Saccharomyces cerevisiae S288C: one gene and its partners. Changing the gene in region 1 together with any one later gene gives a genetic interaction. Each region holds a gene or a part of one and is shown in the gene's direction. Other genes may lie near its edges. The genes, in order: PCK1, PFK1 and ADE6.

Region 1 (9,749 bases):
AAGTTTATATATGTATAAGCTAAGATGAAGTCACGTAAATAGCTCAAATGCCGATTTTTTAATACTCCAAACACAGAATCCTCTATATATGGAAATGGAATCATGAATCTTACGGTTTGTGTTTTGAATGTTCCAAACAGATTTTCTTAGTGTTCCGATCTCTGTTCCACCCACCAAACGAGAAAAAAGTAGGTCTTCGCGAAAACTCCAGCGACACCGCTGGTCCTTTAAGTTAAAATAATATGAATGGTGGAAGAACCCAGATCAACTTGACTGAAACAAGTCTGCCAACATAGACAGCTAAGAAAATTGATGACAAGCAAACGGGAAAAGTCACTGGATCACACATTGTAAGTAGAAGCAGTTTTTCAATGGGAAGACCGCACTGCATAGTTTACTAACTATTTAAACTTTCCAAACATTAGAGAACTAAAGATACCGTTTGAAACGGAGCGACAAGCGACCATAGCAACCAAAGTCCTATCTCCGGACCCGATTTTGAAGCCACAAGATTTTCAAGTAGACTACAGTTCCGAGAAAAATGTCATGCTAGTCCAGTTCAGAAGCATTGATGATAGGGTGCTTCGAGTGGGAGTTAGCAGTATCATAGACAGTATCAAAACCATTGTGGAAGCCATGGACGTTCTATCATAAATAATTAGAACACCGTATTAGTGTACATATAGTATAAGTATCTAGACGGCATTCATGCACATCATAACTTAAATATTTAAAATAGCATTAAGATAAAAAAATAAAGAGAGGTATAGTTGCTAAATGTCCTGGGGTTGCGTGTAAATAAACAATTGTTTGCTTTGAGTAAAGCAAGCATGTGGATGGTAGATGAGGCCTTATTTACTCCCATTAGCTGGGTAACGCAGAAAGTTTTAATATGAAAGGGTGACGGCGCTTGGCGTTTTTCTTGGATTGTAGAAGTCATGCTAGGCCCTTGGAGTAAGATAAGAGAGAACAAATAAAAGCTTTGGCAAATATCAACTCAGACGTCTTTTTTAAAGAGGATATAGAGCTTTGGTGTTGGCCTATTTCCCATCGCTGTTAAATTTCCGCTTTTTTGTTTTTTTTTTCCCTAAATTTGAGGAACAGCTGTTTATATTGATTTCCTTCTTTCCTGGTGCATATTGGTTGAATCATCAACGCTTAACGACTAACAAATTAGATCCAGAGTTACAGACGGGTGAGATTCATATATAGACCGAAGGAGTTTCACAATCCACTATATTATGCCAGAAACCTCTGTTCAGAATCCATTAAGGCTTTCTGAAAATGAAAATACTCGTTCGATGTTTCTGTCTGCATCACAGCAGCAGCGGCCATCTGCCACTCCATCCTTCCCTAGGTTGGTACGGAATACCACAGCAAATTTGAGTTTATCAGATTTTCAAGTGTTAAATCCGTCTTCTAAAAGGCAAAATTCAAACTCGGTTTACGATGATATAAATAGCAGTAAGAGGCGAATAAGTAGACCTAGATTTTCAGATATCGAAGGAAAAAATAATGACCATACTTACCCAGAAAGAACAACAGTCAAGGAATCAGAGAAAAATCCTTCTCCCAGATATGTGAGTAGTTCGAAAAGGGCCCTGAAAAGGGAAAACTCAGTTGGAATTACTCAATCCTCTGCATTGATTTCGAAATCATTTAGTGAAAACGGCGGAAGCATTGCACATGAGAAATGGAGCCCGGAAAATATGATAAAACCACTGAACGTTTCACAGAATTCGCTAGCTTTCGTGGATGCAGGGTCAGATGAACAGTCCAAGAGTGAAATTGTAGGCGGTTTCCAGCGTAAATCTAATAATAGTCAAGAAATCAACGACAAGGATAACAGTGCCCGAGATCAGGATTTCAATAACAGTGGCAACAACAACAATAATAACAATCACAGTAGCAATAACAATGACAATAACAATAATAACAACGACGACAACAACAACAACAATAACAGCAACAGCCGTGATAATAACAATAATAGTGATGATAGTAATGAAAGGGAAGAAAATGATTCCTGCAAGCCAGCAAGTAATAAGAGATCGGGCATTGCTCTAATACAAAAATTACAAGAATTGTACAAAGTGATAGTTAAGCAAGAAATTGAATTGCAGGAGCGGTGCTCACAACTAACAAACTCTCAAACCACCGAACTAAAAAGCTTGTGGACTATCTATAAAATCAATACAGATCTTGTTAACAATTATGTCACTTTTATCACTACAGCTTTACTACCATCCCAACCGCCTCACGATTTGGTCATCGGCCAAGAAATTGTCGAAATATATAGGATCGAAAGAAGGCTATGGGTTTACGGCACGATAACATTTCTAGACGTTCTAAAGAACTTTTCTAACTTCATGGATCCTGAAGTTTGCTGCCAATTTATCACTCACGTCTTTGTTTCATTATCAACTATGATTTCTGACATACCGTCCAAATATTCTATCACTTGGTTACAAAGACTAGGAGACTTATCAAGAATGGCTATAGCACTATATCCCTCGAGTTTTATCGATTGGAAACTGAGTGCTGAGCATTGGTATACTGAGGCGATGAAATACATATACAATCATGGAAAGCTATATTATCATATGTCTACCGTACAGCAAAACACTCTTGAAGCTTTTGTAAATTTGGGGAAAAGCGTCTTTTGTCAGGAAACATTCACTCCGTCTCCGCAATATATGCAATTGGTTATTGATAACATTTATCAAAGAGCCTTTGTAGAAAGAAATAATGGCAATCTTAGAAACTCTTTATTAATTGAGTATTTGAAACATAGTGAAGCCATGCTATTACCCAGTTTTTTAGAAAGTCCAGATTTACAAAATGTCGTGTTGAGCTATTTCATTGAAAAGTTCGGTATAGATGCAAACGGTTGTAACATTTTTAACGCAGAAGATATGTTTGTTCAGAATCCTGATTTTTTCAAGTATTTCTTCAGGCATGGCCCCTCTTTTGCACAATCGCATATTTTACAAATTGTTGGATTTGGAGAGCCAAAAAACCCATTTGCAATTTTATTTGAATTGCCGAAGTATTTGAAGGAGAGGAAAGACAAGAAGGAACGTAAAAAATCTTCAAATAATGACTCCTCCGTGACGGAAAGTTCAACGGGCAATAGCCGAAATGACAACGAAGATGACGATGAAATAATGAGTTCTACCACTTCCATATCTGATCACGATCTCTTAGCAGAATTCTTCAATGACATCGATACCTTAAGGCGTCCGATACTGCCTTCAATGCTAACAAACGAAGCATGGTTGGAAACATTAAAGTTTCTAAATATGACCTCATTAAAATGCGGTATAATAGTGCTTCGGAAGTTTCTACATGGGCCTTTAGGTATCGCATTACCCCATATCTTACCATGGATATACTTTATCATCTCAATTTGTTTGAAAAGCAGCCAATTGAGTGATCCAGTTAGTAAAGAATTCTGGATGATTATTGTTAAGAGAGCTTTTCCATGGGATACAATGGTTACCTTTATGAATGTTTTGATTGTGTATTTATTGGATAACCAAACATCGAACTCTATTATTGGAGATTTATGCGATGACTACGATAAATTAAGCCTTTCTGAACTTTTAGAATTATTCAATGAAGGCGAAGAATTACCAGAAATTTTGGGCTGTTGGGGAACATTGTGGTTTGACACAATTTGCGAAAAGAATACGCATTCGATTAGTAGTGAAGATAATTTTCAAGAAATCGGTATAAAAGATTATATGGCATTGGATTCGCCGACAGATGGAATTATATTTGATGAAAAGGACGAAAATGGTGAAAAATTCTGGAAAAGGGCATGCAGAACCATATTTCTTTTTAGAGAGCTGTCAAGAAGTTTTCCAATAGGCGTAATAATCAGAAACGATCCGTTGATATATCGTTCATCATTTCAAAATACTAATATATTGGGAAGTTTAGTCTTCAAACTCGAACCCTTGTGCAATATACACAACAATATACCAGTATTAGGTGCCCTGGAAAGTATTATTGACATATCTGAGGCAAGAAGTGAAAACAACACTGATCTGCACGCTGTGCCGGAACTAAGTGTCAACGAGGGCGATAATATCTTCCACTATGTTGGCTACAAGAAACTTCGTGCCGATTATACGTGCTTCGATAAAAATGGAGAATTTTTAAGCGCCTCGCTTTACACTACATGGTATGTCCCGAACAGCAACAACACTAACATAGAGGACAACATCAATTATAACAGCGAAAAGGAAAATGAAGGTCTATTTCTGGAATGTATAAAATCTGATTATCCAGAAATAGATTTTAAAACTACATACTTTGTCTTTGATGCAACTTCTTGGCTAAGACATTCCGCACGCATATTCAAGCTAGCTCAAAACAGACTGCTAAGATTTGCCATTTGTTTAACCACATTCCAAGAGCTGAGATTTTTACGAAAGTCAAAGGACGAAAACGTCATGGAGGCTGCCACAAGAGGTATAATAACTATAAGGCAGCTTTACTATGAGAATAAAGTATTACCCCTAAGATTCACAGGTAATGTAGCGACACACATCGAAGAGAACTTAGAATTTGAAGAACAAATAACATGGAGGACACATGTCGACGAGTTTGTCATCGAATCCGTAATGAAGGCGCAAGAAAAACTAGAGAGTGCCAGCGAACCGCGTCTTTCCCCTCGCCGCTTTAACTACGTAGTTCTGATATCTGACGACGACGCCATGAAGAAAAAAGCAGAAGAAAAAGAAATAAAAACGCTAAGCACACGATTTGTGTTTTCTTTGTGCACAAAACTTGGCGAACAGCGCCATCTGTGTACAGACTGATCGTTCGTTGTACGTACATTTACAACAACACCAATTCTACTCACCGCCATAAATAACACTTTAATTTTAATATATACTTTTATATGCATATAACCAACTGACTTCCATACAATTCTGACCAGAGCACTTGGGCAGAGCCCCCACCCAGGGCCTTGTCGGAAAAAATCGGAATATCCCACACGATCCACCGGAGAATATCGGGACGCTGACGGGTGAATGGAGATCTGGATTTCCTAATTTGGATACATCTCTTTTCTTTTTTTGACTCACAATAGGAAAAAACCGAGCTTCCTTTCATCCGGCGCGGCTGTGTTCTACATATCACTGAAGCTCCGGGTATTTTAAGTTATACAAGGGAAAGATGCCGGCTAGACTAGCAAGTTTTAGGCTGCTTAACATTATGGATAGGCGGATAAAGGGCCCAAACAGGATTGTAAAGCTTAGACGCTTCTGGTTGGACAATGGTACGTTTGTGTATTAAGTAAGGCTTGGCTGGGGATAGCAACATTGGGCAGAGTATAGAAGACCACAAAAAAAAGGTATATAAGGGCAGAGAAGTCTTTGTAATGTGTGTAACTTCTCTTCCATGTGTAATCAGTATTTCTACTTACTTCTTAAATATACAGAAGTAAGACAGATAACCAACAGCCTTTCCCAGATATACATATATATCTTTATTTCAGCTTAAACAATAATTATATTTGTTTAACTCAAAAATAAAAAAAAAAAACCAAACTCACGCAACTAATTATTCCATAATAAAATAACAACATGTCCCCTTCTAAAATGAATGCTACAGTAGGATCTACTTCCGAAGTTGAACAAAAAATCAGACAAGAATTGGCTCTTAGTGACGAAGTCACCACCATCAGACGCAATGCTCCAGCTGCCGTTTTGTATGAAGATGGTCTAAAAGAAAATAAAACTGTCATTTCATCAAGCGGTGCATTGATCGCTTATTCCGGTGTTAAAACCGGAAGATCTCCAAAGGACAAACGTATTGTTGAAGAACCTACCTCGAAAGACGAAATTTGGTGGGGTCCGGTCAATAAACCATGTTCTGAAAGAACATGGTCTATCAACCGTGAAAGAGCTGCAGATTACTTGAGAACAAGAGACCACATTTATATTGTCGATGCATTTGCAGGATGGGATCCAAAATACAGAATCAAAGTCCGCGTTGTTTGTGCCAGGGCTTACCACGCTTTATTCATGACAAATATGCTTATTAGACCTACAGAAGAAGAATTAGCCCATTTTGGAGAACCTGATTTTACTGTCTGGAACGCTGGTCAGTTCCCAGCCAATTTACACACCCAGGATATGTCTTCAAAGAGTACTATAGAAATTAACTTCAAAGCAATGGAAATGATCATTTTAGGTACCGAATACGCCGGTGAAATGAAAAAAGGTATTTTCACAGTTATGTTTTACTTGATGCCTGTGCACCATAACGTTTTAACTTTGCACTCTTCCGCCAACCAGGGTATTCAAAACGGTGACGTTACTTTATTCTTTGGCCTAAGTGGTACCGGGAAAACCACTTTATCCGCAGACCCACATAGATTGTTGATCGGCGATGATGAACATTGTTGGTCCGACCATGGTGTCTTCAATATCGAAGGTGGTTGTTACGCCAAGTGTATTAATTTATCTGCCGAAAAGGAGCCTGAAATTTTCGACGCTATCAAGTTTGGTTCTGTATTAGAAAACGTTATCTATGACGAGAAGTCGCATGTAGTCGACTATGACGACTCTTCTATTACTGAAAATACTAGATGTGCCTACCCAATTGACTACATTCCAAGTGCCAAGATTCCATGTTTGGCGGACTCTCATCCAAAGAACATTATCCTGCTAACTTGTGATGCTTCGGGTGTTTTACCACCAGTATCTAAATTGACTCCTGAACAAGTCATGTACCATTTCATCTCTGGTTACACTTCTAAAATGGCTGGTACTGAGCAAGGTGTCACTGAACCTGAACCAACATTTTCATCTTGTTTCGGACAACCCTTCCTAGCCTTGCACCCTATTAGATACGCAACCATGTTAGCTACAAAGATGTCTCAACATAAAGCTAATGCGTACTTAATCAACACCGGCTGGACTGGTTCTTCCTACGTATCTGGTGGTAAACGTTGCCCATTGAAGTACACAAGGGCCATTCTGGATTCTATTCATGATGGTTCGTTAGCCAATGAAACGTACGAAACTTTACCGATTTTCAATCTTCAAGTACCTACCAAGGTTAACGGTGTTCCAGCTGAGCTTTTGAATCCTGCTAAAAACTGGTCTCAAGGTGAATCCAAATACAGAGGTGCAGTTACCAACTTGGCCAACTTGTTTGTTCAAAATTTCAAGATTTATCAAGACAGAGCCACACCAGATGTATTAGCCGCTGGTCCTCAATTCGAGTAAACGAAACATGTTCGTTCGATATGTTCAATCCAAAAAAAAAAAAAAGAATTAGAATTATTTCGACATCATAAATGTTCGTAATATATTATTTTGTCAATTTTTTCTCTTCCCATTTCAGCTTTTTTTTAATAACTGAAACTGGATCAACAAGCACATGTTTTTCTAATTAATCTTTCAAACATATTTATGTATATACATAAGGAAAATTCAAAAATCCGATGCAATTAACAGAATTCTTCTTCATAGTTCTCTTCATCCATTCTTTCGTAGAATAAGACGTATACCTCATCGCTAGACATTTCTGTTTTGCCGGCTTCAAAGTTGTTGCGATCCTTGCGATGTTGCTGTATATAATCGTCATCAAATGTAACCCAAACTTGTCTATTCAGTCCAATTTCATGGCTCTTTTCTTTGTTCACAACAGAAGTATAGTGTCCATTGATAAGGTTACCGGAATGATTCACCGTTCCATATAACTTGTATCGAATCACTTTACCGTTCTTTAAAATAATGTTCAATATCAAAGGGTAGGTTATTACAGTGCTGTTTTTTTTTGTTAAATCATAATAGAACCTTGATAAATGAATGACAAGTATCGGAGGTAAAACTATAAAGTCTAAACTCTTAATCGTGGTTAACTTTTTAGAATTTCGCTTCTTTGCATTTTTTGTTGAATCATCGCTGCTATGGTGATGATGGTGATGATGGTGGGGTGATTTTGACCTTGATCTGGAATGAAAACCGAATATGGTTGATTTTTTCTTCTGGCTAGTAATTTCTTCTTTTTTGGATTTAGAATCAGTAATTCTACAATTAGGACAATCCCAAGCATTGTCGCCTGACAGTTCTTCATCGCCTGTAAATAAGTTTATGCAATCCTCTAATTTAATTTTTCTCGACTTACTTGTAAAGCTATACAATGATAGTTTTGGAATCGCAAGTGACAGAACATAGAAGGTAGAATAGCTATAAGAAGAATTACCACAGCGCTGACATTTCAAAATGTTCTCCAACTGCCCTCGATATATGTGATCAATTGGAGATAAACCATCAGTAATAACATTTCTCTCGTACCATTTCTCGTATTTGGATGGGTTAACTTGTAAAGCATTCGCATCATATGACACTAGATCTGGATAATACTTGACAACATTTTCGTTCGAGAGCTCTTCATGTATTCGTGCTAAAACTATTAGTAGAAATTCCTGTGTATCCTGTTGATCATCTGGGATGTTCAAATCTGGCCTTAACTTCTTGCACATTTTTAAGAATCTATTTGGTATAATCGCTCTTCCTCCATTCAAATACATTTTTTTGAACAAAACGTAAATCGAGCGGGAAAGTTGGACTTCTTTCGGATATTTGTTAGTATTGAGGAATAGCCTATATTTCTTGGTTAAAAACAAATCCCGAAATAAGGTAGTGCCAAACAGACATTGAATTATACTGTTAATATAGCATGTATTGCATGGATTTTGCAGGCCAGTAATAGATAACTCTGATAACAGATCATTAGAATCTTCAATTACTGGTAGATTGTAAGCTTTCGGGGCCGAAGATTCTATGGCCTCGATCTTTCCTTCTTCCTCCTTTGGCTTTTCCACCTTGGATAAAGAGGATGAAGAATCTTGGCTAGAATCTCTGATTTGTGACGAAACCTCCAAGGAGTGCACGGGGGGAGCAGTTGCTGGACTAGACAGCGTTTTGAATAATGCATCCTTTCCAGTACTGAGTTTTAAATACGAGGGTTTTGATAATGCTTCTTTGCTTGTGTAGTACGCCACTTCAGAACCAGCTTCCAATTTATTACTTGATGCTATCTGATTACTTTCCCTGACTATGTCCTCTTTCGAATTATCATTTGTTGGTTTTGTTAGCTCATTCGGTATTTCATGTAGTGAGCCATCAAACTTGTTATGTATTGACAAAGAGGCCATATGAACAGGTAAAGGCCGTAGCGGTAAGGAGTAGGCTCTTTTTCTTTTTATGGTCCTGCAAATTCCGTTTGACTCCGCTAAATACCGGTCAACAATAACAGTACTTTCATCTCTTACCACTTTTAACACATAACCCATCACGTGTTCGTCTTGATAGTCGTTTTTTAGCTTTGCGTAACTGCTGTAGAGATTATTTCTTGTTTGGAATTGTAACGATTGTGGAATAATAAGGTACAGATAATAACAACCAATAATAAATGCTGTCAAAGCTTCCATTTCCTGATTGATTTCTAAATCCCTCAGGTAAACATTAAACAGATGAGCAGCATGGTCTAACAATCCTCTTAAGTTCTTTAGCCGTAATTGCGAATAAAACTGTTTAATATCTACTTCATATACTTTTCGAACTAGGTTTAGAATTTGATCTGGGTTTAATAACATTGTCTTTATGACTTCCGATTTAGCGAAAAGAAAACGGAAAGTAAGATCAATGCCACGGTTATTTAGTTTACTGAAGATCCTGAAAGACTACTAGCAGTAGCAGTAACCTTTCAGAGCTTAT
Region 2 (11,240 bases), on another chromosome or scaffold:
GAAGAGGTGGCTGAGAGAACCCCAGATGCTATAAAGAAATTTTCAATTGAAACTTCAAAGGGATTGAGCCCACAAATGGCCAAGGATGTTGCCAAGAGTCTCGGTTTCAGTCCCGATGCACAAGACGAGGCAGCAAAAGCTGTTTCCAATTTGTATAAAATATTCATGGAAAGGGATGCTACACAAGTGGAGATTAACCCTTTGAGTGAAATTGAACATGATCCAACCCACAAAATCATGTGTACAGACGCCAAATTTGGGTTTGATGATAACGCATCATTCAGACAGGAAAAGATATATTCCTGGAGGGACTTATCACAAGAAGATCCTGATGAAGTTAAGGCAAAGAAGTATGATTTGAATTTTGTTAAGTTGAAGGGTAACATTGGATGTTTAGTCAATGGTGCTGGTTTGGCTATGGCTACTATGGATGTCATCAAATTAAATGGAGGCGATCCTGCGAACTTTTTGGATTGTGGTGGTGGTGCCACCCCTGAGACCATCAAACAAGGTTTCGAATTGATCTTATCCAATAAGAACGTAGATGCAATTTTCGTCAATATTTTCGGCGGTATCGTAAGATGTGACTATGTTGCCCTGGGGCTGGTAGAAGCCGCCAGAGAACTAGAAGTTAGGGTCCCCATTGTGGCACGTTTGCAAGGTACCAAAGTAGAAGAAGGCCGCGACATTATCAATAAGTCAGGCGTGAAGATTTATTCGTTTGATGAATTAGATCCTGCTGCTAAAAAGGTCGTTGAATTGACCCAAAATTAAGCTTCTCGAGAAAAACAAAAGAGTTAATAATAAAGTATATATGCTTTTTTACTATTAATAAAGTTTCTTATTTTCCCTACATGTATACATACATATAAATATACTCTTTTGGAAAAAATTTCTTTTTTTTTTTTTTAATTTTTTTATATTTTTCCATCTTTTGATGTAATATAGAGGTTATATAATGAAAGAATATATAAGAGGTCATAAAAAATCATTAAAAAAATGCGAGTTCAGGAACATATTATCGTTTACGTAATCAGTGCGTTATTGGCGGATTAGTACCGATCACACCTTTGTTCATCGATGTGGATGCAGTTTGCTTTGCTGCGACGGCTGCAGGAGTCTCCCCTTTTATTATGTAGTGAATAACCTGTTTAAAAGAATCACCGTTCCGTATCCTAAAGTTAGCAATTCTTGTTAGATGGTAGCCTGCAGTGCAACCCAGGAAAAAATTGACGGAAGCTAACAGATAGTTCTTGGGCTTGATGACAAACGACCAACGCGTCCAAATCAGTGCCGTCGCTAATAAAGATAAATTTTGTGCTCCTGATACCTTCTCAACAGGCCTCTTAATATCATTTAGCCCTGCGAAGACCAGCCCCCACTTCAAAGTTGGGGCCCAGAAGTGTACTGTTTTAGGGCCTGTTTCACTATTCCAAAATCTTCTAAAGGCAAAATTAAAAGCTGATGCTGACATTAAAAATATAGGTTTGTGTTTCTATGTGTCTTGAATGCTTATGCGTATAGTCTTAAAGACTGATTGTATTCTTTTTTTTTATATGAAGTATTTCCGCCGTAATGAAAGGGAAAAGAAAATTTTCTCCAATACTCCAATTGCAACGCACCATATTATCCGGGAGAATACACGCACGCAGCCGCATATATATATATGATGGCCTTAGTTTTGTTTGAGCCTTTCGGTTTTGCGTGACCAAACCAGGGAGCGGCTCGCTTGACCCGCCCACGGAATGACGTAAAGCCGTTAATAGCCGATTGGCGGGAGAAATAAAAGCGGGGCACTCCCAAGATGAGGGGTAATCGGGGTAATAATATCCAATCAAGGAGGAAAAGGGCCAAATGTTACCCGACTATCCAAACTGCAGGGTAACCTTTATTTTTTCTTTTCTTTTACTCCTACCATTTTTTTTTTCAGATTTTTCCCAGTATGGCTTTGTTTTCATTTTGCTTTGGTGGAGGGATAGATTAAGTTTGCAGCTGCGTAGAAAAGTTTCTTTTCTACATTCGAGGAAAAAGTCGACTTATTAGTCTGGTTAACTTGTTATTAGGGCTTCTTGCTTGAGTTATAATTTTAGAAGGAGAAAAAATAAATCTGTAGCAGGAGTACCAATTTGCTACGCTTGCTAACATCTACGAGAGTAACAATATCAAGCATACAAGCGCGACTGTCTCGGCTACCCCTATAATAGATATAGAGGCGTGTTTGTGAAACAATGTCTTCATTATATACTAAGTTGGTTAAAGGGGCGACCAAAATAAAGATGGCCCCTCCAAAGCAAAAATATGTGGACCCTATTCTCTCGGGCACTTCGAGCGCAAGAGGATTGCAAGAGATTACCCACGCATTGGATATAAGGTTGTCTGATACAGCCTGGACCATTGTTTATAAGGCATTGATTGTGTTGCATCTGATGATACAACAAGGCGAAAAAGATGTCACGCTAAGGCACTATTCCCATAATTTGGATGTTTTCCAATTGAGAAAGATTTCGCATACTACTAAGTGGTCTTCCAATGATATGAGGGCTTTGCAGAGATACGACGAATACCTAAAAACACGTTGTGAAGAGTATGGCAGGCTAGGTATGGATCACCTACGAGACAATTACTCCTCGCTAAAGCTGGGCAGTAAGAACCAGCTTTCAATGGATGAAGAGCTAGATCATGTTGAATCATTGGAAATTCAAATTAATGCCTTGATAAGGAATAAATACTCTGTTTCAGATTTAGAAAACCATTTGTTATTGTATGCATTCCAATTGTTAGTACAAGATTTACTAGGTCTGTACAATGCTCTTAATGAAGGTGTCATTACACTTTTAGAATCATTCTTCGAATTGTCCATTGAGCACGCAAAAAGAACACTGGATCTCTATAAGGATTTCGTGGATATGACAGAATATGTTGTTAGATACCTAAAAATAGGAAAAGCTGTCGGTTTGAAAATCCCCGTTATCAAACATATTACTACAAAGTTAATTAACTCCCTTGAGGAGCATTTGAGAGAGGAAACAAAAAGACAAAGAGGTGAACCTTCTGAACCGCAGCAAGATAGAAAACCATCTACGGCCATTAGCTCTACCAGTAGTCACAATAACAACAGCAATGACAAGAATAAGTCTATAGCGCAGAAGAAACTGGAACAGATAAGGGAACAAAAAAGACTGCTGGAGCAACAATTACAAAACCAACAGTTGCTCATTTCCCCCACGGTCCCACAAGATGCTTACAACCCATTTGGATCACAACAGCAAGATTTAAATAATGACACCTTTTCATTCGAACCAACCCAGCCACAAATGACCGCTCAAGTCCCTCAACCAACTGCTAACCCCTTCTTGATACCGCAACAACAGCAACAGGCTTTACAGTTGACATCTGCGTCTACAATGCCACAACCAAGTGAGATACAGATTACTCCAAATTTGAATAATCAACAAACTGGGATGTATGCTTCTAACCTTCAATACACCCCAAATTTCACCGGCTCAGGGTTCGGCGGATACACGACCACCGAGAACAATGCAATTATGACCGGCACTTTAGATCCAACAAAAACGGGGTCTAACAACCCATTTTCGCTAGAAAATATTGCCAGAGAACAGCAACAACAAAATTTCCAAAACTCCCCAAATCCTTTTACCCTCCAACAAGCACAAACCACCCCGATTCTTGCTCATAGTCAAACAGGTAATCCATTTCAGGCTCAAAACGTGGTGACATCACCAATGGGCACATACATGACGAATCCCGTGGCCGGTCAACTTCAGTATGCCTCTACTGGTGCGCAGCAGCAACCACAAATGATGCAGGGTCAGCAAACAGGGTATGTTATGGTTCCCACTGCGTTTGTCCCCATCAATCAACAACAGCAACAACAGCAGCATCAGCAAGAAAATCCTAACTTAATAGATATATAGTGAGCGATAGATACTACAGTTTTTTGTTCTCAACAGGCCGTCCTTGCATATTATAAACTCTGATTTTTAGGTAATCCCTTCCACCTTTCTATATTTTATGATACTATCCAAACATGTAAATTTTACGTACCATACATATAACCTCATCTATAATTTTTACCCTGATCTAACTAACTTTGGCATGCCTGGTTCAATCTACGGGTTACAGTCATCGTTGAAAACGATGGAAAAACATGTCGAGATTCCTCAATCCATACACCATTATAGTCCGTTTTATCAGCTTCCACTAATTTTTTAAATCTCAGTTTCTTCTTGAAATTTAGCATCGTGCATGGGATAGCGGCTAGTAAAAAAGAAAATTAATATCTCATTAACAAAGTTATTGTACATAATCCGGTACAATATTCTTCAATGTACTCTCTAATATCGAGCACACTGGCAATATTCATGCACACATTCGCCTAATGCTGACGAATGCTTAATCAGTGCAATTACTGCCACCCTCTTGATATGTGGGCTAAATCCTTTAGGACCTGTAAAAAATGCAATCACGTTTTCACATTTTTTTTTTTCTTGCGGAATTGCGGAATTTCCCAGTTGGCAGCGTTATCCGATTTGAGATCGACTTGCATCAACCTTTGAAAAATATAAGGATGAGAAAGTGAAATCGGTTTTTTTTTTCCATTGTCGTCATCAACATGATTTTTTAAATAAATAAATACGATTTTTTATTTTTTTTCCCTTCTTTGTTTTTGTTTTGCTTATTCCCATCTTCATTATTAAATTCTTCCGCTCTTAATAAAGGAGTTTTTTTATTATCTTCTTGTGTAATCATCCTTTTTCTTTAATTTTCTTCCTTTTCTTTTTCTCTTTACTGGTTTTTTTACTTCTTTATTCTCAACCATCTAAAGAATATTATTGCTTTCTACCAATAAAATCTGTTAATTCTATTTGGATTGTCGTCTACTCAAGTCTCGCCTAGTAAATAAACGATAAACAAATTTGAAGTAAGAATAACAATATAGGGAGAGAAATTTTTCTATTTTTAATTTCGAAACAGGTACCAAAAAATCTAAGTTCACTTTAGCACTATTTGGGAAAGCTTTTATATAAAAAATCTGAAACAAAATCATATCAAAGATGCAATCTCAAGATTCATGCTACGGTGTTGCATTCAGATCTATCATCACAAATGATGAAGCTTTATTCAAGAAGACCATTCACTTTTATCACACTCTAGGATTTGCAACTGTGAAAGATTTCAACAAATTCAAACATGGTGAAAATAGCTTACTATCTTCAGGGACTTCCCAAGATTCCTTGAGAGAAGTTTGGTTAGAATCTTTCAAGTTGAGTGAGGTTGATGCTTCTGGGTTCCGTATACCACAACAAGAAGCTACTAACAAGGCTCAAAGTCAAGGTGCTCTATTAAAGATTCGTTTAGTGATGTCTGCTCCAATCGATGAAACTTTCGACACCAACGAAACCGCCACAATCACTTATTTCTCTACTGATTTGAACAAGATTGTCGAGAAATTCCCAAAACAAGCCGAAAAATTGTCCGATACCTTAGTGTTTTTGAAAGATCCAATGGGCAACAACATCACCTTCTCAGGCTTAGCTAATGCAACCGATTCCGCTCCAACTTCCAAAGATGCTTTCTTAGAAGCTACCTCCGAAGACGAAATCATCTCTAGAGCTTCTTCCGATGCTTCTGACTTACTAAGACAAACATTGGGCTCTTCTCAAAAGAAGAAGAAGATTGCTGTCATGACTTCTGGTGGTGATTCTCCAGGTATGAATGCCGCTGTTCGTGCCGTTGTTCGTACAGGTATACATTTCGGCTGTGATGTTTTTGCTGTTTACGAAGGTTACGAAGGTTTACTAAGAGGCGGTAAATATTTAAAGAAAATGGCTTGGGAAGATGTCAGAGGTTGGTTAAGTGAAGGTGGTACTTTGATTGGTACTGCTCGTTCTATGGAATTCAGAAAGCGTGAGGGTCGTAGACAAGCTGCAGGCAATTTAATTTCGCAAGGTATTGACGCTTTGGTTGTTTGTGGTGGTGATGGTTCTTTAACCGGTGCTGATCTTTTCAGACACGAATGGCCATCTTTGGTTGATGAATTGGTTGCAGAAGGTAGATTCACTAAAGAAGAAGTCGCCCCATACAAGAATTTGTCCATTGTTGGTCTTGTCGGTTCCATCGATAATGATATGTCTGGTACTGACTCTACCATTGGTGCTTATTCTGCTTTGGAAAGAATCTGTGAAATGGTTGACTACATTGATGCCACCGCTAAATCCCACTCCCGTGCCTTTGTTGTTGAAGTTATGGGTAGACATTGTGGTTGGTTGGCCTTGATGGCTGGTATTGCTACCGGTGCCGATTACATTTTTATTCCAGAAAGAGCTGTTCCTCACGGAAAATGGCAGGACGAATTGAAGGAAGTGTGCCAAAGACACAGAAGTAAGGGTAGAAGAAATAACACAATTATTGTCGCTGAAGGTGCTTTAGATGATCAATTAAACCCTGTTACTGCCAATGACGTCAAAGATGCTTTGATTGAATTGGGTCTAGACACCAAGGTAACCATTCTAGGTCACGTTCAAAGAGGTGGTACAGCTGTTGCTCATGACAGATGGTTAGCTACTCTACAAGGTGTCGATGCTGTTAAGGCCGTTCTGGAATTTACCCCTGAAACTCCTTCTCCATTAATTGGTATTTTAGAAAACAAGATAATTAGAATGCCATTGGTTGAATCTGTGAAGTTGACTAAATCTGTTGCCACTGCCATTGAAAACAAAGATTTCGATAAGGCAATTTCTTTAAGAGACACAGAATTTATTGAACTTTACGAAAACTTCTTATCCACTACCGTTAAAGATGATGGTTCCGAATTATTGCCAGTATCTGACAGACTAAACATTGGTATTGTCCATGTTGGTGCCCCATCTGCTGCTTTGAACGCTGCCACCCGTGCCGCAACTCTATACTGTTTGTCTCACGGCCATAAACCATACGCTATCATGAATGGTTTCAGTGGATTGATTCAAACCGGTGAAGTGAAGGAACTATCATGGATTGATGTCGAAAACTGGCATAACTTGGGTGGTTCCGAAATCGGTACGAACAGATCTGTTGCTTCAGAAGATTTGGGTACCATTGCTTACTACTTCCAAAAGAACAAGCTAGACGGTTTGATTATTCTTGGTGGTTTTGAAGGTTTCAGGTCCTTGAAGCAATTGCGTGACGGTAGAACCCAACACCCAATCTTTAACATTCCAATGTGTTTGATTCCAGCCACTGTTTCTAACAACGTTCCAGGTACTGAATACTCACTTGGTGTTGATACCTGTTTGAACGCATTAGTCAATTACACTGATGACATCAAACAGAGTGCTTCTGCGACAAGAAGAAGAGTCTTCGTCTGTGAAGTCCAAGGTGGTCACTCTGGTTACATCGCTTCTTTCACTGGTTTAATCACTGGTGCTGTTTCAGTGTACACTCCAGAAAAGAAGATCGACTTAGCTTCTATCAGAGAAGATATAACTCTATTAAAAGAGAACTTTCGTCACGACAAAGGTGAAAACAGAAACGGTAAGCTATTGGTTAGAAACGAACAAGCTTCTAGCGTATATAGCACTCAATTGTTGGCTGACATCATCTCTGAAGCAAGCAAGGGTAAGTTTGGTGTTAGAACTGCTATCCCAGGCCATGTTCAACAAGGTGGTGTTCCATCTTCTAAAGACCGTGTCACCGCTTCCAGATTTGCTGTCAAATGTATCAAGTTTATCGAACAATGGAACAAGAAAAATGAAGCTTCTCCAAACACTGACGCTAAGGTTTTGAGATTCAAGTTCGATACTCACGGTGAAAAGGTACCAACTGTTGAGCACGAAGATGACTCTGCTGCTGTTATCTGTGTTAATGGTTCTCACGTTTCCTTCAAGCCAATTGCTAACCTTTGGGAAAACGAAACCAACGTTGAATTAAGAAAGGGTTTTGAAGTTCACTGGGCTGAATACAACAAGATTGGTGACATCCTGTCCGGTAGATTAAAGTTGAGAGCTGAGGTAGCCGCTTTAGCCGCTGAAAACAAATGAATGATTGCAATGAAAAGTTTAAGTTAAGCAAAAGGAGGTAAAAATGGCATGCACTTTAATTTTTATACAATCGTTTTTTTGTCATAAGACTTATTTATGTATCTGTTGTTTTTCTTTTTCTATCCTCTATTTTTGTCTATTTGTCTTTGTTTTACTCTTTTTCATTATTATTTCTTTATATAATTTTTGTACGATATGATACACATAACAATGAGCAATGAACATATTTCTAATCCTAACCATTAGATATACTTTTCAACTGAGGAATAATGGCGCCTTGATTAAACTAAGCTATGGAATTTGCATTATTCAAGTTTTAGGGTGTGCTTAATCTGCGTTGACAATGGTTCACGAAGACGACATCGGCAACTTTGCTGTACTACAAATTGCTCTGAATGTGAGGCTGATCCACATCATAGTGAGGCGCGCTACCTTAATTGTAGTCGTATTGTCATCGGTCTACGAATACCGTTTGGTTTATTTGTCGGCCTTTTTTCTTTCCGTTTCTTTTTATCTTTCCGCTGGAAAAATGGAAACTAGTGCCGATAATCGGAGATGGGATGACTAAATATTTCTTTAAGGCATTGGCAATGTTCAAACCTCTGATAGAACGGCAGATATATATTTAAGAGAATATAGTCAAGGTTGACGCCGCATACTTTGGTTTTGTTTCAAAAAGAAACAGGTGAAAAATTATAAAGACCAAACTAGAATACCATGCCCAGTGTCTGCCATACAAGCCCGATAGAAAAGATTATCCAACAAGGGCATCGCATACAGAATGATTCCTTAATACCGTCAAAACGCACCAAGCTGGCCCATACGGAATTAACAGCACACTATGCCACTGAAGACTCGCATGTGGAAAAACACTTTTTGCATAATGGTAGTAATTTTGACGGCATTGACAATGTAAGGTATCAAAATCAACCCTCTCCATTAACCTTCATTACTCCAAACAACACTGTAGATTCCAGTGATTGGGTTCCGCAGTTCTCGTCTATGAAGATTGACGATTCACTAGAGTTTAGCTCAGAATATAAAAGGTTGTATTCCAATTACGAGTCACAGCAGCGCCTGAATTCAAGCAGACAACACTTACCTTTTAAGAATTGTATGATAAGGAAGACAAGTTGCACTTACCCACCTCAAAAGACGCTTCGACAGCAACGCCAAGGAAACCGGGACAACCCAACGGATGCGTTTCAATTCGACGCGGAGTTCCAAGTTTTGGAGAGAGAAATTCAAAAAGAGCGGTACGAGCCCATAACACGTCGGGACGAGAAATGGTTCGACCAAGATCAGTCGGAACTGCAAAGGATTGCCACAGATATAGTAAAATGCTGTACTCCACCGCCTTCGTCTGCATCCTCCTCTTCTACTCTTTCCTCCTCTGTCGAATCAAAACTATCTGAGTCGAAGTTTATTCAGTTAATGAGAAACATTAGTAGCGGTGACGTGACTTTAAAGAAAAATGCAGATGGAAATTCCGCAAGCGAGTTATTCTCATCCAACAACGGGGAACTGGTCGGAAACAGGCACATTTTCGTCAAGGACGAAATTCACAAAGACATACTTGATTGATATAGGCAGTTTCTACAATTGTACCTCTTGTAACTACTACATACGTTGATATATGTTTACAGATAGCTAAGAATATCAAAATCATGAATATGTGCCCTTATGTGTTCTCTGCGCTGAGGAGTATCGCAGCTTCACTCCTGCAGATGCATGCCCTACCTACTGTCATGCCCATCTCTCTCGTTTAAAACTTACTACACCTTTTTTGTGCATGGATTGTGCTGATGTAAGCTGCACGAAATGACACGCTTGTGAATTTTTTCTTCTCTTGGGAGAAACTGTGAAGAAAAAAAAAAAAGCTTCGCAAAACCCGAATTAGTCTCGAAGGAAGTAATTACCTTGTGAAAGGGTCTTTTGGGATACTAATTTATTATGAAGTTTGGTTTTGGTGTTGCTTGCTCTTTTTTTTTTCAATTTTGAAATGCGTACACGTGAATTTTAGCATAGGTTGTAACAAAAAAAAAAAATGATTTGGATGAGGCAGGCAACCCCTTAAGTAGCTATGGTACCTTTCAAGCTGACAAATAAGGTACCTACGGACACGGGACCTTCTCTGATTTCAGCGCAAAGTGTACCCAGACCAATAGTTTTTATGGATAATCGAAACAATACGCGAATAGTAACACCTACGCTACCTCCAAACCAGCATAGAGGCATATCAGGCGCGTCGACTGCTCTTCCCTGGTCTCCAGAGAGTAAGAATACAGGGAAGTATATTTGGAATAGGGTCAAACTAAAAAACTCTCCGTTTCCCCGTTATCGACACTCTTCCTCATTTATTGTTACGAATGATAACAGGATTTTTGTGACCGGTGGACTTCACGATCAATCGGTATATGGGGATGTCTGGCAAATAGCCGCTAACGCGGATGGTACGAGCTTTACTTCCAAGAGAATCGATATTGATCAAAATACACCTCCCCCAAGAGTGGGACATGCCTCTACTATATGCGGTAATGCCTATGTTGTGTTTGGTGGCGACACACACAAGCTGAATAAGAACGGACTGTTGGATGATGATCTTTATCTTTTCAATATTAATTCTTATAAGTGGACCATACCACAACCTATCGGCCGTAGGCCGTTGGGCAGGTACGGCCATAAAATTTCTATAATTGCTAGCAACCCTATGCAAACTAAACTATATCTTTTTGGCGGACAAGTAGATGAAACTTATTTTAACGATCTGGTCGTCTTTGATTTATCATCATTCCGTAGGCCGAATTCTCATTGGGAATTTTTAGAGCCTGTCGGCGACCTGCCTCCTCCTTTAACAAATCATACAATGGTGGCATATGACAACAAATTATGGGTATTCGGCGGGGAAACTCCCAAGACAATAAGCAATGATACATACCGCTACGATCCAGCACAAAGTGAGTGGTCTAAAGTTAAAACCACAGGAGAAAAGCCTCCGCCAATACAAGAGCATGCTAGTGTGGTGTATAAACATTTAATGTGTGTGTTAGGCGGTAAGGATACCCATAACGCATATTCCAACGATGTCTATTTTTTAAACTTATTATCGCTAAAATGGTATAAGCTTCCCCGTATGAAGGAGGGCATACCTCAAGAACGCTCTGGACATTCTTTAACCTTAATGAAGAATGAGAAGCTTCT
Region 3 (12,259 bases), on another chromosome or scaffold:
AAGATATAAAAACTTTAGTTTAAGCCCAACTTTATTACAATATCCTTAGACGGCAGCTGGCTCGTGGGATTTTTTCAAGTGTTAGTCCGGTTCTGCAACTACTGCTGAATTCGGCTGCATTGAAAAGCTCAAATTAAAATCATCGTCAATTATTCTCATTACTTCAATCTTTGCTAGTACGCCTTTCACATGGCCTGTCGATCCTATGCTCCTACAACTAAAATGTCCTTTACTAACATGATTGCCTCCATTGCTACAATTGCGTCAGCTAAGATACTGCCGTAGTCTACTAGAAAATCATCATTAGTTCACCCGAAATGGCTCTGAGATTATGAATCACTTTAGGATGATTTACACAGAAAGCGCCGTACCGCCTCCGAGACTCTTTCACCCAACTGTGAAAGGAAAAAAAAATGTGTGAAATGAAAAAAAAAGTCGAAATATGAGATGCAAGGCTAAGTTTGATGATAGCCATTCCCAAAAATCTGCATGACTCTTACGGCTATAACATAACTATATATAAAGGCTCTACACCCACGAGCAATCGCCTTTTCATTTGTTTCAATTTTCAAAAAAGGACCGACACAAATCAATAGATAATGACAATTTCGAATAAATCGTGGAGGAGCTACTTCCCACATTTGAGAAAACTACCCGAAGATGATCAGTACTTATACTCAGACGATACTAACTCCAGTATCATAGCTGAAGAGGAGCTACATCATAGCGTAGATAAGTCCTCGAAGACAGACGTTACGGCAGAAACTACAGCTGTAGAACCTCATCCTCACAATTTAAGGCATGACTTGCCATATGAAGTGAGAGATGAAGCTGGGCGTAAATGGTGGAAATATTTTGATGAATTCGAGTATCGTGTTAATAAGGAATACAAGAAATCACGTAAGTGGTACGAGTTTTTGTATCCTAATCATACTACTCAAACCAAGGCTGAAAGACGGCTTCTTTACAAGCTAGACATTATTATTGCTTTATACTTTTTTATGTTATGTTGGTCCAAGTCAGTGGATTTGAATAACTACACTAACGCATATGTTTCCAATATGAAGGAAGATTTAAACATGAAAGGTAATGATTACGTTTACACTTCTACTATTGCTAATGTTGGTGCCATTGTCTTCCAATTACCATTTATGTATTTGTTACCAAGATTTCCCTCTCATATTATTTTGCCTGTAATGGACTTGGGCTGGACTTGGTTCACATTTGCATGTTATAGGGCAAACTCACTAGCCGAACTAAGGGCTTACAGATTTATTTTAAGTGCCTTTGGCGCTGCTTACTACCCAGTGTCCCAATATATACTAGGTTGTTGGTATGCCCCAGATGAAATTAATTCAAGAGTCTGTTTATTCTTTTGTGGGCAACAATTGGGTTCCGTGACTTCAGGACTTCTGCAAAGTCGCATATTCAAAAGTTTGAACGGCGTCCATGGTCTAGCAGGCTGGAGATGGATGTTTCTGATCGATGCCATTGCAATTTCTCTTCCCACGGCTATTATTGGTTTTTTTGTTATTCCCGGTGTACCATCTAAGTGTTACTCTTTATTTCTGACTGACGAAGAAATACGAATTGCAAGGGCCAGAAATAAGAGGAACCAAATCAAAGATGGTGTTGATAAAAGTAAGCTAGCCCCATTATGGAGCAGAAAACTTTGGAAGAAAGTATTTTGTACTCCAGCATTCTGGGTACTTGTTGTTTTTGATACATGTTCGTGGAATAACATGACTGCGTATAGTGGTTCATATACTTTGTGGTTAAAGTCTAATACAAAGTACTCCATTGCCCAAGTGAACAACCTGAGTGTTATACCCGCATGTTTAGGATTTGCGTATGTGATTTTTTGTGCCTTTGGTGCCGATTTATTTAGATGTAAGTGGATATTCATGGTTTTTGCTGCTATAATGAATACCGTTTCTTGTGCCTTACTTATCAAGTGGGATATTCCTTCGAAAGCTAAATGGTACGCTTTCTTCACCACGTATTTCAGTGTGGCCGCATCGCCTTGTCTATGGTCGTTTATTAATGACTTCTTAAGGTTTGATCCTCAGGTGAAGGCTATTACATGGATCGCCATTTATTCCTTCTCTCAATCCACTTACGCCTGGATTCCTACCTTGGCGTGGCCTACCGTGGAGTCACCACGTTTTAAGACTGGTTACACCGTGAGCTTAATTTTTGGTGCTATTTACGGTTTATGGACGTTTGTTGTACTTTTTTTTTACAAGAGAAACGAAAAGAAACATGCTCTAGGTAATGGTATCATCTTGTATGATAGTAATAAGGGTGAAGAGCTTCCAGAATTTGTAAAGAAAAATATGGAGGAAAGAGATGGTTACTACTATTTAAAGCGGTCCTCGTAGTCCAATTTACGTGAAGTAGATAGGTATATTACGCTTTAGACACCATACCTCAAATAAATATATTCATGTATATAATTTAATCATCTTCTATCTATAATTAATCTCGATGTTGATAAAGGTCACCTTATACGTTCTATGAGTGAAATCGAGTGAAAAAGTGAAATTTAAGAAAGGGCTCGAAGGATGTACTGTGTAATAATTACACCTGGCCACATTCAGTTTGGCAAAAGCGAACGAGGTACAGTGTAAGAGATGTCTAGTGAAAGAGCCTGTATGCTGTGTGGCATAGTGCAGACCACAAATGAGTTTAATAGAGATGGTTGTCCCAACTGTCAGGGTATTTTTGAAGAGGCAGGTGTTTCTACAATGGAATGTACGTCGCCTTCTTTCGAGGGCCTCGTAGGAATGTGTAAGCCTACTAAGTCGTGGGTAGCAAAGTGGCTGAGCGTAGATCATAGTATAGCTGGTATGTACGCCATCAAGGTCGATGGTAGACTACCAGCTGAGGTTGTGGAGCTGTTGCCTCACTACAAACCGAGGGATGGCAGTCAAGTTGAGTAAAACCTTCCGTTCTGATATCACATGTATAATAGTAATGAATTTTTTTTACTTTTTTTTTTTTTTAGTAAATATTCTAGCATATGAGTTTATGCTTTCATTTATTTAACGTTCTGCACTTTTGTTTTTGCTGGCAAACCCAATTTTTCTACCGTCCAGTAATTCAACTAAGGCTAAAAAGACTTTCATTAGAAAAAAAAGGTCCAAGGATAGGAAAATTTCAAGATAAAGTATGGCATTATGTTAAAGAGGTTAGCCAATCGTCAAAATGGTTTTGCGTCATTCTCGTGCAGCTCAGTCGGTCTGCGATATGGTAGGACTAATCCAAGTACAAAGAGAAGCTTTTCACTTTTTCAAAGTGTAGCGGACACGTTTTTAACAGTGCATGAAGCCTCACATATACCATGGATAGTGCTTGTTCCTTTGACTACTATGACCCTTAGAACCCTCGTGACGCTGCCATTCAGTATATGGCAGCGGAGGAGAATTTTGAAACAACAAGAACTGAGGAAATTAGTACAGCCAATAACGCCCATTATTAAACTTCGACTGGCAGCCGTTACTAATAAAAAGTCTAGAAATGCCGCCAGAATTAGCTCCAACGGTTCTTTCATGCCGTTACAACTACAGAATGCTGGCGTTTTGACACCAGAACAAATTACACTATTGGCAGTGAAAGAGACAAGAAAGAGGCAGAAAAAATTATTCAAGAAGTACAATGTACCCCTATGGAAAAATGCCTTACTGCCAATGGTGCAAATTCCTCTTTGGGTCACAGTCTCCATGGGCATCAGGACCCTAACAGAGACACAGCTTATAGAAAGTTTTTATCCTTCCTGGTTTTCCGCACTGGGTTTCAGTTCCTTTGATCTAAGCTCACCGCTAGTAGCAATGCCTCTACTAGCGCCCATTTTGGTGGGGACTCTGGCGGTATTAAACGTGGAACTCAATGGCCGACTGATGTTTAGCTCAAGTTTGTCATCGCAAGGTATAAAGACAATTTCAAGGAATTCGACAAGAGTCCAAGAGGCAATGACTAGTATACTGAACGTATCGAGACTCGGTTGTGTCGTTATGCTAGCAATGTCCTCACAGGCTCCATTCCTTCTTTCGCTCTATTGGATATCATCACAGCTATTCTCCCTGGTGCAAAATATCATATTAAATTGGATTTATCCTTACCAACGATGAGTGAAGCTGACGCATAGATAGGATATGTAATTCTACATCAGCTTGTAAATAAACAAAAATGACTTTCAATATCCTTCAACCGTTCCTGACTCTTTCCTGCTGACCCGTTTTTCCAAATTTCTCGTCGAACTTGAAATTGAAAAAAAAAAAAAAAAATTGAATGAGGACTCATTAAACAGATGATGCCGTAATAAATGCAATATATCTTGCTATTTAACTCTTTCTTTCTTTGAAAACCTTGACATACGTATTTAAATAATTGGCTGTCCCTGCCTCGAAGTATATTTCTCTTCTACTTTTATCTTAGCGATATCCCTAAGAGTTTAATCCTCCCAGGTCCATAACAAAAGAAGTCAAGTTCAATGACTGATTATATTTTGCCGGGTCCCAAGGCCTTATCTCAGTTCAGAGTCGATAATCTAATTAAAGATATAAACTCCTATACAAACAGTACTTCTGTCATCAATGAATTGCGTTCGTGTTACATTCACTATGTCAACGGCATCGCTCAAAATTTGTCTGAACAGGACACTAAATTGCTAGAAGTTTTGTTGACTTACGATTCTGCTTTAGATATTGCTAACGATCCATTAGCAAGACAATTAAACGATGCTGTCGCTAATAATTTACCCAGTTCAGCTCTTGGCGAAGACACATATTTGATTAGAGTTGTTCCTAGATCAGGCACTATCTCTCCTTGGTCTTCCAAGGCTACTAATATTGCTCATGTATGCGGGCTACAAGACAAAGTTCAACGTATTGAAAGAGGTTTAGCCTTACTCATAAAGACTGTTCCAGGTTTCCCTCTTTTGGAAAATCTAAATGATATTTCATTGAAGTGTGTCTACGATAGGATGACACAACAATTATATCTGACCGAACCACCAAATACGATGAGTATTTTCACACATGAAGAGCCAAAGCCATTAGTTCACGTTCCTTTAACTCCTAAGGACACTAAACAGTCTCCAAAGGATATTTTATCCAAAGCTAATACGGAATTGGGTTTAGCTCTAGATAGTGGAGAAATGGAATATTTGATTCATGCATTCGTCGAAACTATGAAAAGAGATCCTACTGATGTTGAGTTATTTATGTTCGCTCAAGTTAATTCTGAACATTGTCGTCACAAGATCTTCAATGCTGATTGGACCATTGATGGAATAAAACAACAATTCACCTTGTTTCAAATGATTAGAAATACCCATAAATTAAACCCAGAATATACTATTAGCGCCTATTCTGATAATGCAGCCGTTTTGGATAGTGAAAATGATGCCTTTTTCTTTGCACCAAATTCAACTACAAAGGAATGGACCTCTACAAAGGAAAGAATTCCATTACTTATCAAAGTCGAAACTCACAACCATCCAACAGCCGTGTCTCCTTTCCCAGGTGCTGCTACAGGTTCTGGTGGTGAAATCAGAGACGAGGGTGCTACAGGCAGAGGTTCCAAGACTAAGTGTGGTTTGAGTGGATTCTCTGTCAGCGACCTTTTGATACCAGGTAATGAACAACCTTGGGAGTTGAATATTGGTAAGCCTTACCATATTGCATCTGCATTAGATATTATGATTGAGGCTCCTTTGGGTTCAGCTGCATTTAACAATGAGTTTGGTAGACCTTGTATAAACGGTTACTTCAGAACTTTAACTACAAAGGTTTTGAATCACCAAGGGAAGGAGGAAATCAGAGGGTTCCACAAGCCAATTATGATTGCGGGTGGTTTCGGTACTGTTAGACCTCAATTTGCTTTGAAGAACACCCCAATAACTCCAGGCTCTTGTTTAATTGTACTTGGTGGTCAATCTATGCTGATTGGTTTAGGTGGTGGTGCTGCTTCTTCTGTAGCTTCCGGTGAAGGTTCCGCCGATTTGGATTTTGCTTCTGTACAAAGAGGGAACCCCGAAATGGAACGTCGTTGCCAACAAGTGATTGACGCTTGTGTTGCCTTAGGTAACAATAATCCTATCCAATCTATTCACGATGTTGGTGCTGGTGGGTTATCCAACGCTTTGCCAGAATTGGTTCATGACAATGACTTGGGTGCTAAATTCGATATTAGAAAGGTCCTCTCCTTAGAACCTGGTATGTCACCAATGGAAATTTGGTGTAATGAATCACAAGAACGTTATGTTCTTGGTGTTTCTCCTCAAGACTTATCCATTTTCGAGGAAATCTGTAAGAGAGAAAGAGCACCATTTGCTGTCGTCGGTCACGCAACCGCTGAACAAAAATTGATTGTAGAAGATCCTCTTTTGAAAACAACTCCAATTGATTTAGAAATGCCAATTTTATTTGGTAAGCCTCCAAAGATGTCAAGAGAAACCATAACTGAAGCACTAAATCTACCAGAGGCAAATTTGAGCGAAATTCCTTCCCTACAAGATGCTATTCAAAGAGTTCTAAACTTACCATCTGTTGGCTCAAAGTCATTTTTGATTACTATTGGTGACAGATCCGTCACAGGTCTAATTGATAGGGATCAATTTGTTGGTCCTTGGCAAGTACCTGTTGCGGATGTCGGTGTTACCGGTACCTCTTTGGGTGAGACAATAATTTCCACAGGTGAAGCCATGGCTATGGGTGAAAAACCAGTTAACGCCCTAATCTCCGCATCTGCTTCCGCTAAATTATCTGTGGCAGAATCTTTATTGAACATATTCGCTGCTGATGTGAAATCTTTAAATCATATCAAGCTATCTGCTAACTGGATGTCTCCAGCCTCTCATCAAGGTGAGGGTTCTAAGTTATATGAAGCCGTTCAAGCATTAGGTCTGGATTTATGTCCTGCATTAGGTGTTGCTATCCCTGTTGGTAAGGATTCCATGTCCATGAAGATGAAATGGGATGATAAGGAAGTTACTGCACCATTGTCATTGAATATCACAGCATTTGCACCAGTTTTCAACACTAGTAAAACGTGGACTCCATTGCTAAATAGAAACACAGATGATTCTGTCCTTGTCTTGGTTGATCTATCAGCTAAACAAGAGACTAAGTCACTAGGTGCCTCTGCTTTGTTGCAAGTTTACAACCAAGTTGGTAACAAGTCGCCTACTGTGTATGATAACGCCATTTTGAAGGGTTTCTTGGAAAGTTTAATCCAATTGCATCAACAAAAGGAGGATATAGTGCTTGCCTACCATGATAGGTCTGATGGTGGTCTACTAATCACTTTACTGGAAATGGCATTTGCTTCCAGATGCGGCTTAGAAATCAACATTGACGGTGGAGACCTAGAAAGTCAATTAACAAACCTATTCAATGAAGAATTAGGTGCAGTATTCCAGATTTCTGCTAAGAACTTGAGCAAGTTCGAAAAAATCTTGAACGAGAACGGAGTTGCTAAAGAATATATTTCTATTGTTGGTAAGCCATCCTTCCAAAGCCAGGAAATCAAGATTATTAACTCCACAACAAATGATGTAATTTACGCCAATTCGAGATCTGAATTGGAGCAAACTTGGAGTAAGACATCTTACGAAATGCAGAAATTGAGAGACAATCCAAAAACAGCCGAAGAAGAGTTTGCCAGTATCACGGACGATAGAGATCCCGGTTTGCAGTATGCCCTAACATACAACCCAGCCGATGATATGAAGATCGGATTAGAATTATCCAGTCAAAGGCCAAAGGTTGCTATCTTAAGAGAGCAAGGTGTGAACGGTCAAATGGAAATGGCATGGTGCTTCCAACAAGCTGGATTCAACTCAGTGGATGTCACTATGACAGATTTGCTAGAAGGTAGGTTCCATTTGGATGACTTCATCGGTCTTGCCGCATGTGGTGGTTTCTCTTATGGTGATGTCTTAGGTGCAGGTGCGGGTTGGGCTAAATCCGTATTGTATCACGAAGGTGTGCGCTCGCAATTTTCTAAGTTCTTCAATGAAAGACAAGATACATTTGCTTTTGGTGCTTGTAATGGTTGTCAATTCTTGAGTAGATTAAAAGATATCATACCCGGGTGTGAAAACTGGCCAAGTTTCGAAAGAAATGTTAGTGAACAATATGAAGCCCGTGTATGTATGGTGCAAATATCTCAAGAAAAGGACAATTCTAGCGAGGAATCTGTTTTCTTGAATGGCATGGCAGGATCCAAATTGCCAATTGCTGTCGCACATGGTGAAGGTAAAGCAACATTTTCTAAAAGCGCTGAACAACTGGAAAAGTTCGAAAAGGATGGTTTATGTTGTATAAGGTATGTGGACAACTACGGTAACGTCACCGAAAGGTTCCCCTTCAACCCCAATGGGTCGACCAATGGTATTGCCGGTATCAAGTCACCAAATGGTAGAGTGCTTGCCATGATGCCACATCCTGAAAGAGTTTGCAGATTGGAGGCCAATTCCTGGTATCCAGAGGGCAAATACGAAGAGTGGGGTGGATACGGTCCATGGATTAGATTATTCAGATCTGCCAGAAGATGGGTCGGTTGAAAGATTTTTGTAGTTTTTGTATATGTAGTTTTTAAGTTTGAATAATAATTAGAAAGAAGCTGTCTTTTATTTATAGCATTTAATAATGGGTTTGCTTGTTAAAAATTTATCATAAATAGTATGTATATATATATATATATATATGGATATGTATACGTGGTAATGAACGTGTATACATATATTTAAAAGATTGCAATATAGTTTTTAGAATTAACCTGAATTAATTTAAAAATCATATATTAAAATAAACAATTGTGAAGGTAAAAAGAAAGAGTTAGGGGAGGTCAAACAAAGTAAAAAAAAAAAAAAGGAAAAAAAGCGGTTCGAAATTTATTTCATTTTATACGTTTTTTTGTTGTTTTTCTTTTTTTTTTTTTTGAAGTATGTTTCTTCTCTTAGTTAGTCTTCTTTTGAGCATTGTTTTCAGCTCTCTTCTTCATTCTTTCTTCTCTGGAGGCCTTAGCTTCTGGACCAGATTCAGTGTCTAGACAGTAATCCCACCATCTGAAAGAGGAAGCGTAGTTACCAATAAAGTAGTGATGATGCAAATCGTGGTGTTCAGCGCCAGCCCAGAATGGCATGATCTTGTTCAAAGACCATGGGAAGTCATAACCAGAATGAGAGTCAACAGCTTGGAATAATCTTAGGGTGATCCATACACATAGAGTGAACAAGTGTAATTTACCAGTGTACATGACGTAAAGAATTGGCATACCAACGGTACCAAAACCCAAAGACAAAGTTTCAGCAGGATGAGCATATTCAGCAGAAAGACCGAATGGAGCAGCGTATCTGTGATGTTGCTTGTGAATGTACTTGTAGAAGACACCGTAGTGGAATAGACGGTGAGCCCAGTAATGCCATGTATCTTCCAAGACGAAGAATAGACCAATTTCTAGAGCCATTGTTTTCAAAGATGGGAATGGAACTTCGACAGTAATACCTAATTTTTCACACATTGGGTGGAAGGTCCAGATAGGGATGGCCTCGACCAAGAAATGAGATAGAAGAACGGATTTCAAACAGTATAGTTGTTCCTTAGCACTTGGAATCTTAGTTGGTTGTAACTTCCATCTTCTAAAGTATGGAATTTGGTCGATGATGAACCATGGCAAACATCTAAAGAAATACATAAATTCATGCAATAAAAAGAACATTAGACCGGTGGCCAAAACATCATTGTTCATGTAACTGTACCATGCGGCCCAGTATTTCTCCATGAAATTCAATTGAGGTTGGTAATGGGCGACATTTTGCAAAGTTTGTGAGTAGGTGCTTGCTTGGACTAGACCTGAAAGGGTAGCGTTGTTGAAAACGGCAGACATCTTTTCCTCTTTTTTTTATGGCTGTACTACTTTTCCTTAGTCCTCTATGCTACTATCTAAAGAGAAAAAGTTACAACTAATATAAAGATTTACTGGAAGGAAAGAAACGAAGAGAGAGAAAAAAGGGAGAGAAGAAGAGAAGAAGAAAAAAAAGAATAGATCCTCCTGTATTATATATTATATAGAAGTATGCATACACAGGCGTACGCATACAAGAAAATGTACATGCATAACGGATTAATCGTGTGTATATAGTTTAAACTGCGCAGAGAATGAATAATAATAATACGACCACAGCAGAGGCGAGGCAAGCAAGAAAAAAAAAATTGGTGGGAAAGCGATGCGATACGGTGGCAAAGGGCCTCTTCCTCGACGGTTTTGTGCCAGGTGCCTTGAGGTTGCTGACTGTTATCGGTCATTGTTAGTTGCTATTGTCCTAGTGCTAGTCGTTTACCGTATACGATCTCTGTGTCCCGTATACGAAGGGAGGCAGTGGTAGTGGCAGTGGCCGTTGCGGAGCTGGCTAAACGACATCTGGGCGTAAACGACACCCGATAACTGGCTCTGCTCTTTCCTGCGAGATGGTTCTATCGGACCAAGGCCCAAACGGGTTTAAACGGCTGCCCTCCGCACCCGCACGTGACTACACCGGGTAACGAATGGATTGCGTAATATACCGATTTTTACTTTTTACACTTTTTTGTTTCCTATACGACGCGGACGAAGAGAAAGTCTTCTGCGCCAAGGCCGAAAAGAAAAATTTGAAGAAAACATTCTCAGATGCGAATCTACTTTTACATCATCTTCTACGTAGGCCCTTTTTTAGTTCCTTTTTTTTTTCTCCCTCGGTCTGTTTAATCATAGTAAAATCAGATATTGTCAAAAATTGTATTCATTGAATGGAGAGTACTTAAACTTCACATCCTAACATTAGAGATGCCAGAAAAAACATATAGGTATAAGTGAAATCATCATTATGATAAACGAGACGGATGAAAGGAGAAAAAACTGAAAAGAAAAAAAGGGCGGATTGACAATTCAAGAAAAAGGCAAAAAGTAAAGGAAGGTAACATCACTTGATATCGCACCCTTCTTTGCATTGCCTTGTGGTTACCGTACCACTCTTGCTTATGATTTTTTTTTCTTTTTGCGCGCGCTAGGCTGAAATGTAGAGGTTCAAGGTATGATAACAGCGGACAAAGGTATATGATGTCGCGCATTTGATGCCTTAAATACAATTTTTTTTTTTCCCTCCTCCGTCGAAAAAACGCTGTGAAGAATAAAAAAAAATTGTATTTTGTATTACCCGGATTTACTTTAGTCTCACATTGTATTGTTAGGGTTTTGCTACTTATGGTAAAACTGCCGCTAAAAAAATATTCATTTCTATCCTAATTGTATTTTTATTATGTAGAGCAAAGCTTGCGCGAAATTATTGGCTTTTTTTTTTTTTTAATTAATACTACCTTTTGATGTGAACGTTTACTAAAGTAGCACTATCTGTGGAATGGCTGTTGGAACTTTTTCCGATTAACAGCTTGTATTCCAAGTCCTGACATTCCAGTTGTAAGTTTTCCAACTTGTGATTCAATTGTTCAATCTCTTGGTTAAAATTCTCTTGTTCCATGAATAGGCTCTTTTTCCAGTCTCGAAATTTTGAAATTTCTCTGTTGGACAGCTCGTTGAATTTTTTCTTAGCTTCTAATTGTCTAGTTATAAATTCAGGATCCCATTCTGTAGCCACCTTATCCATGACCGTTTTATTAATTATTTCATAGCACTTGTAATTTTTGAGTTTGTTTTCCTCGATTTCATCGAAGTTCATTTCTTCCTCCAAAAATTTCCTTTGTTCTTCCGTTATGTCAACACTTTTCGTTGTTAAGCAATCTCTGGCCTTTAATAGCCTAGTTCTTAGCATTTCAGATCTGCATTTTTCATAATAATCCTCGGTACTTTCTACAAGATCAATTAAATTCCAATCAAAAATCGTCTTTTGCAAGATTTTGAAGTCACAGTACTTTTCATTTTCAATGTCAACAGCGCCCCATTTGTATTGTCTTCCTTTAACTTTTTCGCCCTTTTCATTAAAAATGTACTCATTAGATGCAATTATACTGAATGGATATTTTTGAAAAATATCTTGTGTTGCATTCAAAACTTCATCGCCGAAAAAGAAACATACAGGGATATCTTGTACTCTTATTATTTCTCTAACTTGTGTTTTGAAGTTTTTCAATTCCTCTTTCGTTAGCAAATCTGATTTAGCAATAACCGGGATTAAATTCACTCTCTTCGCTAATTTTTTCATTGTTACGACGTCTAAAGTATCAATTCCCTTATTTGAAGGTCTCAGAAAGTACAAACA

What was found.
Region 2: of PCK1 (region 1) and PFK1, changing one suppresses a phenotype caused by changing the other (phenotypic suppression), as found in Saccharomyces cerevisiae (one study listed by BioGRID).
Region 3: mutations in PCK1 (region 1) and ADE6 together harm fitness more than expected from each alone (negative genetic interaction), as found in Saccharomyces cerevisiae (2 studies listed by BioGRID).

What each region holds. Positions count from the first base shown.
Region 1 is NC_001143.9:625,552-635,300, forward strand, and holds PCK1 (phosphoenolpyruvate carboxykinase PCK1), read left to right. Parts: upstream 1-5,600; coding exon 5,601-7,250; downstream 7,251-9,749. Other genes in the region: chromatin DNA-binding EKC/KEOPS complex subunit PCC1, read left to right, coding at 313-350, 426-654; ESL2 (Esl2p), read left to right, coding at 1,242-4,829; ubiquitin-specific protease UBP11, read right to left, coding at 7,475-9,628.
Region 2 is NC_001139.9:967,570-978,809, reverse strand, and holds PFK1 (6-phosphofructokinase subunit alpha), read left to right. Parts: upstream 1-5,075; coding exon 5,076-8,039; downstream 8,040-11,240. Other genes in the region: LSC2 (succinate--CoA ligase (GDP-forming) subunit beta), read left to right, coding at 1-774; MPC3 (mitochondrial pyruvate carrier), read right to left, coding at 1,034-1,474; YAP1802 (Yap1802p), read left to right, coding at 2,229-3,935; YGR240C-A (uncharacterized protein), read left to right, coding at 4,033-4,233; PEX21 (Pex21p), read left to right, coding at 8,757-9,623; KEL2 (Kel2p), read left to right, coding at 10,123-11,240. UniProt on the Saccharomyces cerevisiae protein: Catalyzes the phosphorylation of D-fructose 6-phosphate to fructose 1,6-bisphosphate by ATP, the first committing step of glycolysis.
Region 3 is NC_001139.9:608,199-620,457, reverse strand, and holds ADE6 (phosphoribosylformylglycinamidine synthase), read left to right. Parts: upstream 1-4,492; coding exon 4,493-8,569; downstream 8,570-12,259. Other genes in the region: VHT1 (Vht1p), read left to right, coding at 600-2,381; transcription elongation factor SPT4, read left to right, coding at 2,634-2,942; membrane insertase COX18, read left to right, coding at 3,180-4,130; ERG25 (methylsterol monooxygenase), read right to left, coding at 8,965-9,894; septin SPR3, read right to left, coding at 11,357-12,259. UniProt on the Saccharomyces cerevisiae protein: Phosphoribosylformylglycinamidine synthase involved in the purines biosynthetic pathway. Catalyzes the ATP-dependent conversion of formylglycinamide ribonucleotide (FGAR) and glutamine to yield formylglycinamidine ribonucleotide (FGAM) and glutamate.